Linked DNA regions of Arabidopsis thaliana. The protein of the gene in region 2 interacts with the protein of the main gene of each other region in a pairwise test. Each region holds a gene or a part of one and is shown on either strand. Other genes may lie near its edges. The genes, in order: AT3G02420 and AT5G49540.

Region 1 (5,833 bases), on a different chromosome or scaffold from region 2:
CTAGTAGTGATTACGTACTTTGAAGAGTTCTTTTTCTTATTTTGTGTATTAAACAGCAGTTTAAAGGGTCCCGCTCCATATATTAAATTGTGATTAGAATTGCGTTCGAACACAATACGCTATTGGTGGTTTGATGTCTCGACACTCGTATTTCGTATAGTTGTGCATAGACGCCACGTGGTATTGCTTGCTGGTACTAGACTTTGGGAACGTGTTCGGTGATTTAAGCGGTGGCACGCGCACCAATGAAGGGAATATGAATCAATGATTAAGATACCTTATTCCCAAATTTGGTTTATCTAAATAATACTCCTCTCCCCCCCCCAATGTACATTATTTTAGATTTCCTTTTTTCGAACAAAAACACTCATCCACATGTGTAAACGACTCACAACCAATCAACTATAATTTCTTTAAATAATCACCCTTTCAATATATAATAATTTTACACAATGAAACCGATTTTCTAGGGCCAGATGATATTTTAGATGATTTTTATTTTTGAGCAAAAGTTCTACAATCACTCATGGAATCAGATATTATAAAATTTAGAACATTTTCATCGGTAATTTCTCACATAATTTTTTATTGACTAAAAAATATAAAATAATAATAAAGTATGAGAGAGATAAGAGAGAGATTGAGAATTGTTTTTATGCAGAGAAATTTTAGAGTAATGATTGAGAGACTATATGTATATGTATGTGTTTATAATTGGACAGAAACTAAATCATAATAAAATATTATTATTATTATTTTTTTAGAAACTTTTGAAGTATCTCACCAATGAAAATGGCAAGGTGGAAACTGGAAAGGCAATTAGTCACATATAACTAAACTAGAAACCAAAAGTAATAAGAGATTTTTATTTCAGCGATAGCCAAAGGAAAACGTTAAAAGAGAAGAAGAATCTACTTTACGCTGAATATGAAATTAACATGGATTGTTGAAAGCTATTTAATCAATCTTCTGGTTTTTCAAAAGGGTTTCAAAAGTCACCTCTGCATTTTGTTTCTTTTTATCACCTGAACCACCATCTCTGAACGGCACTGACCGGAGTATTCAAGAAAGGAGCGTAACGTTGGATAATCGGAGTCACCGTCCTCCCTATTCTGCTCCACGTGCTCTGGTGGTAACCAGCTGTTACCGGTGCTTGATACATCAGCTTCAATAGCTGCCACCAAAATAACAAAACTCAGTTCATGAGAACAACTCTCAAGATCCAACCAACAATCCTGCAAACAACCTAGTAGATCTTTGTTTTAGGAAGAATATGAGGAAAAGGTTTTTGAACTTGACAGATTTTATAACAAGAACACAAGATTTTTAACCAAAAAAAAACAAAACACAGTTCTCATTACTATCCTGATGGTCTTAGCCCATGTAACACTTTCAGTGACAGAAGATCATCAAAGCAACAAAAAAGGTGTTATTACGGAAATGATTCTTCCTATATGTTCACTTGGATCAAATTAAACAAAGAAAACAGGGGTTCTACTTGGGAATGTTGAGCCATCACAAAGAACTGATGACTACAACCAAAAGATGATACGTACCTGCCAGTACATGAACGTCTGTATAATGTTACGTTGCCATCTGCAGTAAGTAAAATGACAATTTTGTTCAGATAAGTGAAACCAGCTAATGCAAAGCTGGGAACTTAGTGAGAATATAAACTTAAGTGCGAAAATAAACTATTATCGCTTCTAACAGGTTCAAAGAGCTTACGAGAGCAGAGAGATAATCAGAAGGAAGCCAATGGCTATCTCAGCCTGCGATGACAAGATGTTGAGGGTAGTAGTGTTTGACTCCACCCACACACAAGGGTCTTCCAAGTACTTTCTGATAACCATTACAGAACAAGACACATGTACAACATAAGCATCAGTAAGAATCCACACATGGAACCTACTACTACATTCAAACCTGCTAATCAGCTCGATGCACCTACCTGTATATAGTGGACCGACCAAAGTTACGCCTCAAGAACTTGGCTACTTGTTCAAGTGCCCGGCACAAGATGGGAATCAAAGCAACTGCAACAGATTGATAATGAGACTAGTCATAAGAATGTACGTGATTTGAAGACATTCACAAAAGAGTTTTCAATAAATTCTTACACTTGAGACAGAGATGTGAAGTGACGAATGTAAGGCAGTAGATGAAGTAGATGAAATCCTTTGCTGCCACAATTGATTGAAAATAAACTTGCAGCCCTTGCATATTCCATGCCCTTGGCCTCTGCAGATTATAAAATTACAATTCATAAGTAACAAAAATTTCGCATTGCATGATCACTAGAGAGAAAGAAAACATGAAATTCACATGGCGTACCCCGTATAAGGAGTATAAGGAATATAGAGATGAGCATGCAGTTCCCATGAAAGATAGACGATAAGCCCTATTTGAGAGGTTCTTTGGTATTAGAGGTAGCACTGCCAGCACAGCTATAACAAAAACCTGCAAAAATGTAATGGATTTAGAGACATGAAACGGGAGATAAGTTACGTGAAGCATTCCAGACAAAAAAGCATTTGTCACATCTAGTTCATGTCTAAGTACACAACAAAGATTCAGCAAGACAGGAGAACATAAAGACAGACAATACACTATGCACCATCTCATTACTGTCCGTGAAGTTAAGGAGTGAACAGCAGATTGCAACAACAATCCCAACTCACAGGGCTAACAAGAGCTAGATCTTTTTATTAAACTTGTGCAATAAGAGGAAGAAACTGCAACTGAAAAACTTTATCTTACCCAAGCATTGACTGAAAACTGAATCGTCTGCTCATCCCAGCGCATTGAACTTGGGGTTGCACCAGTCGTAGCAGATGGCCCAGAGGTTCGAGGAACCGATCCTGAGGCACACAATTAGGTAAGTTTTTGGTAGTAATAAGAAAAGCTCATTTGAGTTCAAGAATATATCAGACAAAGAAAGTTGACCTGAGTTCCGTGAACGAACTTGTTCATTTGCATTAGAAGATGCAGTTGAAGATGCAGATGTAGCAGTTGGCCTGGCAGATTGTGAAGACGAAGATGAAGTCGACATAGGCTCCACAACAAGATCAGGATCCTGCAAAAAAGAAGGACATGGCAAGCACCCTAGATTTAGAAACAAATCCAGATTACATCTTCATAGGGAAGAGCAAAGATGAACAACACGAAGGCTTCACATATTATAAACAGGACCTAACGAATATTCAATGAAAAGCCCTACCCTCCGCTTAATAACCTAATCACGAGGAGATTCGGACCCAAGGACTAAGCAATTTAGCAGAAAGAACATCAACAACCACACTTGTAAAACCTAAGATTCAAAGTCCACACTAAATCCCCAAATCAGTAGCGCACACAACACAAAGTCAAACTCGAAACTCAAAGTAATGAAGAAAATGGATAAGCAAATTCAAGAGTAGGGAAGATAGTAGTAAGTACGATGTAGCGTTGGTAGAATTTGCGCTTGAAATGGTCGACGACCTCGGGACGAGAAGCCATGTGAGGAGGGATGAGGATATTGGACCAGTAATCGGCCCATCGAGCGTCGTTTTCGTAGTCGAAGGCAGCCGCCGCAATTTTCTTCAACCGCTGGGAATCTTCGCCGCCTTCCGCCATGGATGAGATCGCCGGAGAGAGAGATTTGGATTCGACTTTTTTTGTATGGGTTTTGTTTCTTTGGTCCACTTTTCCTATACTTTACTTACTACTAGTATCTGTGGACTTTTGCAAGAGCGACGACGTTTTGGCAATCAGTTGTTTATGATATTTAATATAAAAATAACTACAACTTTGCAAAAGACTGGAAACTTTGAGGGTTTGTATGCAATTTATCCAAAGAAAGAAAATGAACAAAACAGAGCATTGGGAAAGAAACCCTAAATCGTGAGAACAGAGAAGGACTAGCGTGCGAAGAACAAGCAGAATATGACACAGTTATATCTAGCTCAATCACTGTTTTCAGCATTATGTTCTATCTTGTTAAAAGCTTTAAAAAGTCTTGTATTATTTGTCGTGTATAATGTTGTTTATCGTACAAGTTAACTGAACAGAGAGATTACTTAAATACAGACAGTCCACTATGCGTAAACTAAGTTATCATTAGCTGTTTCTATATCGTAGCATCTATAAAAAAACATCATCATCATTATCTTCACCAATATCAATCCAACGATCGAAACCTGAAAAGAATCAAAACTAAAAAGATGTCTGCCCTTCGGCTAAGAAACGCAAACACTCCGGCTCCGGAGCTCGACGAGTTATCCGATCAGACACCGTCAGAATCCCGGGTGCTCAAGAGACAGATGTCAATGTCTCAGCGAGCCATGTCAAACACCCTGACGTCAGCAGCCAATCTCTCAAACCTACTCCCAACGGGAACACTCCTCGCGTTTCAACTCCTAACGCCGGTTTTCACTTCAAACGGCGTTTGCGACCACGCAACGCGTTTCCTAACCGCCGTTCTCCTTTTCCTCTTAGCCGCGTCTTGCTTCGTCAGCTCCTTTACCGATAGCGTTAAAGCCGACGATGGAACTATCTACTTCGGTTTCGTAACGTTCAAAGGCATGTGGGTCGTTGACTATCCTGACCCGTCCGGGTTAGGTTTACCCGATTTAGCCAAATATCGGATGCGGTTCGTTGATTGGATCCACGCTACGTTGTCGGTTTTAGTGTTTGGAGCGGTTGCGTTGAGAGACAAGTATATAACTGATTGCTTTTATCCGTCGCCGGAGGCAGAGACGAAACATGTCTTGGACATTGTTCCGGTGGGTGTTGGGGTTATGTGTAGCCTTTTGTTTATGGTTTTTCCGGCGAGACGCCACGGAATTGGATATCTTGTTACCGGTAGCGTAGATCGCCGATGATTTATAATTAAAACCAATTTAGAAACGGTAGCGTTTGCATGGTGGGTTGACTATTTTCGTTTGTTTTCTTGTTTGTAAAGTTGTATAATTTGTATATATACGTTATGACCATTATTCTTTTTATTAAACTAATAAATTTTAATTTTGTGTCAAATATATATAATTTTCCTAATTCAAATAGACTTTATTTATTTGAATTCTAAAATCATTGCATGGACTTTTTGATGTAAAATACATTAATGTATGTACGGTTGACATGTTACTTGGAAAACGTTGACTATTTTACTTCATTTGTACCATAAACTTATATTAGATCCATATCATTAAATATTCAATGTGTTAATTAAGATCTGAAATTACTTAAAAGCTTATATCTGATTATGAAAACCGTGCCAAAAAGGGAAGAGATCTTTCTAAATACCACATCGTAACCAAACATACTCGTATATAATTACAAATGAACAAAAAGGGTTTAACTGAGAAAATTTAGATTCTACGTACTAGTATTTTAATCTCTTTAAATCTCTATTTTTCAACATGTCTAGTAAAAAATCGTTCCATGAATCAATTGGACCTGGCAAACACCAATGTACACAATCATTATACAAGATAACTTTATCTTCTCGTTTATGTCCGAATCTGCTCGGATGTCCATCTGGTCTTAACAACATCATCTGTGTGACATCTAGTAATCTCAAATTTAATCCGTCATTTCTGTTTTTGTCTCTGTTTGCAATGCGAAATTCATCGAGTTGAATGCTGTGTGTCTCTAGATTCATACCATCTAACTCTGTCTCATTGCTCCTATATAAACACAAAAGAAACCCAAAGGAATATATAGACGTTTCTATTAGGATGTGACGAATGAAAACTCAAACAACAACAAAAAAAACACAAAACTCATAATATTAAAGTATTCTAGAAGAAACTAATATTTTAGAAAATGTCGGATGAACAATGTATACCTATAT
Region 2 (4,458 bases):
TTCTCTGATTTTTTTTTTTGTTTTTATCATCAGGGAAGTGGTCATTAGCCTCTTAACCGGATCTCCACCTGGAACAAAGCTTATGAAGGCTGAGGTATTTGCAGCAGGCAGGACCAAACTTGAACGTGAAATCACCAACAACGAATATATAAAGGTCTTCACTTGAGCTCTCTTTGACTTTTTTTTTGTGTTTCGACCAAAGCGTAGTTTTAGTCTCTAAACTCTGTGTGTTGTGTGACAGGTGATGCACGAGATCTGTGAAACCAACTCTTCAGGATGGGTTTTACAGAAAGCTCGATGATGAGTTTATTAAATCATCATGACTAGATTTTAATGGTCTATAAATTTTGATATGAGTAAACGGTTCAGTAGTTATGAGATATTCATATTTTGTTTTTCCTTTTTGAAATCAAACAACCTTTTTTCTATTACTCAACTAGAGTTGGTAAGACAAGCCACACCAACACAGGAAAATAAACATAAGAAGCAACAAAAGAACTATACAATACACATAGACGGCTAAGTTCAAACTTGACAGAGAGTGTTCTAATGTTCTCTATTGAAATCTTAAGCATATTCGAATATATTTTACATGCAAGAATGTAAAAAAAAAAGAAAACAACAATGTGAACACATGAAATTGGAAGAAAGTGTAAATACTTGAAACTTTTCAATCTAAAGGTTTTCACAGTTTGATGTGATCTCAAATAACAAAAAAAGGTAATACGAACTCATAAACTGTTGTTCAAAAAGGGAACAAGAGAAACATTGTCAATCTAATTCAGTTTAGATGAAGAGGCTGCAAAACCCGAACTCAATCTTGTGTGCCGTTTCACCATCCTCATCTGGAGCAGAAGTTCCCTCAGAATATGTGCACCAAGTCATACGCAAATCTACTCCATTGTTAAGGAAACCTACTGAGACAAACAGAGAATAGAGAGAGCTGTTTTCGAGTTGCGCATATACTTGATTCTACACGAAGTAAACAAAAAGGCCATTTCTATGTTAATCACAGGTTCTTAAGAAGCTAATCATTTTTACCTACACCATACCATAGATGTTTTTCCATAAAGCTAATCAACCTTTGATTTAGTTTTGCACATTATCATAAAATGAGTATGACCACCAAATTGAGTTTAAGGATACGTCCAGAACAGCACAAACGACTGCGAAAAAGAAAACAACACCGCGATTAGTATGAGATTAACAGGTTGGATCAACAACATGTATCTTGAAGCAACAAACAATGTAATAAGAAAAGGAAATGAAGATATACCATAAGGCCACCAAGAAAACCGTCAAAAAGAACCCGATTCCACGAATCAAAGTACAAGTCAGCTGAGAATCCTGCCTTAGCCATGAGCCCAACAGATGTGATCAACATCACCACAAAGTAAAATACAAAACCAATCAAGCCATTGAATCCAATTATTCCTGCTAAGACACCAGCTATGATAGACAGAAACGTCCGGCTGCAAACACGAACAAAATGAGGGATAACAAGTCAAAAAACCCGAGAACCATCATCTTTTTAAGAAAACGAAAGAGAGAGAATTGTATTGAATCAGACCTGTTTTGAATGACTTTCAAATTGTTCTGCAAATTCTCTGCACTGAAAGTTGGTATGTCACTCATGATATCCTTTGATCTCTTCTCAGATGAACCCATTTAAGATAACAACAATCTGAAACAACATAAATTTCAAATCTTTGTATTGGATTTTACATTACAGTAACAAAAAAGGAAGAACTTGGACATCATAGAGTAAGTGTATAGATTACAAACCCAAAAAAGTATTGATTTTAAGCAAATTTCCACAGGAAAATTAGGGGTTTCTAATTGATTCAATGATTCTATAACTGGGTTTCGCTATCTAAGCATCACAATAAATTTCGATTCCTAAAGGTTAAGACTTTATGATTATCTCTTAAGTAGTCGAGAGTGGGAGCAACTATGATTAATCGATCTGGTTTTATCGATCTCTTCCGATCTACTACTTTGAGATCTACACAAACTTTGGAAAAGGAATTGATATAGACTTACAATTAGAAACGAGAGTAGTAAGAGGAAGATCGAAGTAGCTTGCTTTGGTACTTGGGATGAATTGAATGGAGAGGATGAGCCAATTTGAGAGAGAACAATCAGACGAATATCTTTAAGTTCTTTAGAGTGTTTTTAGACAAAAGAAAAACACAGAGAAAACAAGTAATATATAAACCGTAAAATCGAACCGGAACCAAACCTTAAACCGGATTGTCCACTACTAATCAAAATTAACAACACTCTCCAACTATGCTAGTTAAATTTCTTGATATTGAAACGGATAACATGATTATACATCACAATTTGTGATTATGAAAATTCGTTACTTACTACTAAAGATGAGCAGTTCAGTTTGTTCCAAGTTTTGGTTTTATAAAACCATCGCTATTACATTCAAACTGAAATTAATTCGGTTTGGTTTTGTTTGCTTAGGAGGTTTTAATATGTTTAACAAAACACTTAACCAATGCATTAGTAAGTACGGTAAATGGTTATATATGGAGTAGCGGTAAAAAAAAAACTTAGGTGCTTTTCGTTTGGTTTGGTTCCAGATTGATTTATGCAAATTTCAGTTTTGGTTAAACTTAAACCGAATGTAGACAAAATCATTCGTCGTATTCGTATCTAGCTTCAATATCAACTAAAACCAAAATAGCATTCCAGATCTCGATTCCAACAATCTCAGTAATGATAAAAATTAATTATTGCTACAATGCATCAGTCTGTAACAACAGAATCATTAGAGCGACGCTGATGATGAGGATGACGATACTCAGCTCGGATTTTAGATTCTAGGACAGAGACATATCGATCTAGAACAGAGATCACAGCTTCAAACTCCGACACTTGTTTCTCGATAGCATCCATTTGTCCTACAAATTCATCCAAGCCACCACTTTTTGATTTCATCTGTTCTGCGAAAACTCTGAGCCCAGCTGCCACGTCACCCATATCATCGTACTCTGACGCAACTCTCAGGTTCATCTTCTCCAATAGATCTAGATGGTTGTTCGTTCCCTATTTTTATCCAATTCAATTTCAGATCTGTGGAAACAAATAAATCTGTAAAATTTCGGATTGATTTTCACCTGGAGCTCGGATTTGACCATAGATGAAACACTCGTGAATAGATTTTGTAGCGATTCAGCTAGATCATCTCGTGAATCCGCCATTGATGAGGATATTTACTTCTTTTCGCAAAGACAAAGACAAAGACAAATAAACAATGGCTCTTCTGTTGTTTAGGGCACTTTCCATATTTGTTGAATTAGTGATATTTAGGTTAAGCTACACGTGGAGGCTTATTATTCGTTGATATCAACTATTGTCCATGTCTGTAAGCCTCTCCCTACGACAGAGGTTTTCAGAGCAGTAACAAACAACTTACACATGAGAGTTAACATTGCACAGTCTGAGATTATACTCGCTAGATTCTTTTCAAGTCTTGAAGAACAACATGTGCAGCGTTTCTTCCAGGTGCACCCATAACTCCGCCTCCAGGATGAGCTCCGCTGCCACACAAGTAGAGACCTTTCAAAGGGCTTCTGTAATTTGACCTGTTTCACACAGTCCAACAAAGTTTTGAATTTCATAATCATAAATCGTAAAGACTGTTTTGAGTACTTCGGAGTCACGTACCATCCTTTCACAGGGCGCATCAGGAAGAGAGAGTCTAATCCCATGGCACCGTGAAAGATGTTTCCGCCTGCAGAATACAAATGGGCAGTCATGTCAATATGGTTTGGCCATGTCGCATGTACTTGGGATCTTTCTCCAAGTACTTCACTTTATATACCTGTTAGACCAATTTCCCGTTCCAGGTCCGGAGGAGTCAACATGTCGTAGCTAATGATGGATGAGCTAAACCCGGGTGCATATTCATCAATCAGTTTGAAACACCTTTGTGCAAAGGCTTCCTGATTTTTACACAAGCAAAAGCAAATCCAGATGGGTTTGGCATGTCTTGTAGTGTAAAGGAATGTTTAGCCAAGCGTGTATAACAAACTAACTCGGTAAGTAGGATCTTCCCAGCTTCCATCTGAGGGCTTGTAAGGAGTGTACTGGATGAACAAGTTGATTACATGCTTCCCTACATACAAAATCACATTCAGAGTTCAAATCCTAAACAAGCAAAAGGGGGAGAATGTGTACCTGGGGGAGAAATGGTGTTGTCTAGTGTGGATGGAATAGTCATTTCGATCACTGGTCTTCTCGATGGTAAGCCATTTTCAGAATCATGACATGCTGAGTGAACCTCGTCCATGCTGACAGAGAGAAGATAGAACAGAGCCATTGATCACTTTTATTTGTATTATTATTTGTTCTTCGAGATACATATAATGAGGAACAAATTAGCACGAATGATACCTCTCTGCACCAATGTGTATAGTGCCAAAATGCTCTGGACCTGGACCT

The links.
Region 1: the proteins of AT5G49540 (region 2) and AT3G02420 interact in a two-hybrid assay, tested with the Arabidopsis thaliana proteins (2 studies listed by BioGRID, with this or other methods).

Annotation. Positions count from the first base shown.
Region 1 is NC_003074.8:495,158-500,990, forward strand, and holds AT3G02420 (dihydroflavonol 4-reductase/flavanone protein), read right to left. Parts: upstream 3,808-5,833; 5' UTR 3,616-3,807; coding exon 3,439-3,615; exon of another isoform or gene 3,221-3,438; intron 3,077-3,220; coding exon 2,947-3,076; intron 2,862-2,946; coding exon 2,761-2,861; intron 2,461-2,760; coding exon 2,335-2,460; intron 2,242-2,334; coding exon 2,121-2,241; intron 2,037-2,120; coding exon 1,952-2,036; intron 1,843-1,951; coding exon 1,729-1,842; intron 1,597-1,728; coding exon 1,557-1,596; intron 1,175-1,556; coding exon 1,022-1,174; 3' UTR 727-1,021; downstream 1-726. Other genes in the region: AT3G02430 (transmembrane protein, putative (DUF679)), read left to right, coding at 4,203-4,862; TBL20 (TRICHOME BIREFRINGENCE-LIKE 20), read right to left, coding at 5,363-5,666, 5,828-5,833.
Region 2 is NC_003076.8:20,103,942-20,108,399, forward strand, and holds AT5G49540 (Rab5-interacting family protein), read right to left. Parts: upstream 2,338-4,458; 5' UTR 2,044-2,337; intron 1,685-2,043; 5' UTR 1,669-1,684; coding exon 1,571-1,668; intron 1,473-1,570; coding exon 1,277-1,472; intron 1,167-1,276; coding exon 1,147-1,166; coding exon of another isoform or gene 1,137-1,146; exon of another isoform or gene 894-1,136; coding exon 863-893; 3' UTR 540-862; downstream 1-539. Other genes in the region: AT5G49530 (SIN-like family protein), read left to right, coding at 34-154, 242-301; BLOS2 (biogenesis of lysosome organelles complex 1 subunit-like protein), read right to left, coding at 2,761-3,060, 3,132-3,215; AT5G49555 (FAD/NAD(P)-binding oxidoreductase family protein), read right to left, coding at 3,470-3,599, 3,682-3,748, 3,839-3,959, 4,053-4,132, 4,195-4,307, 4,411-4,458.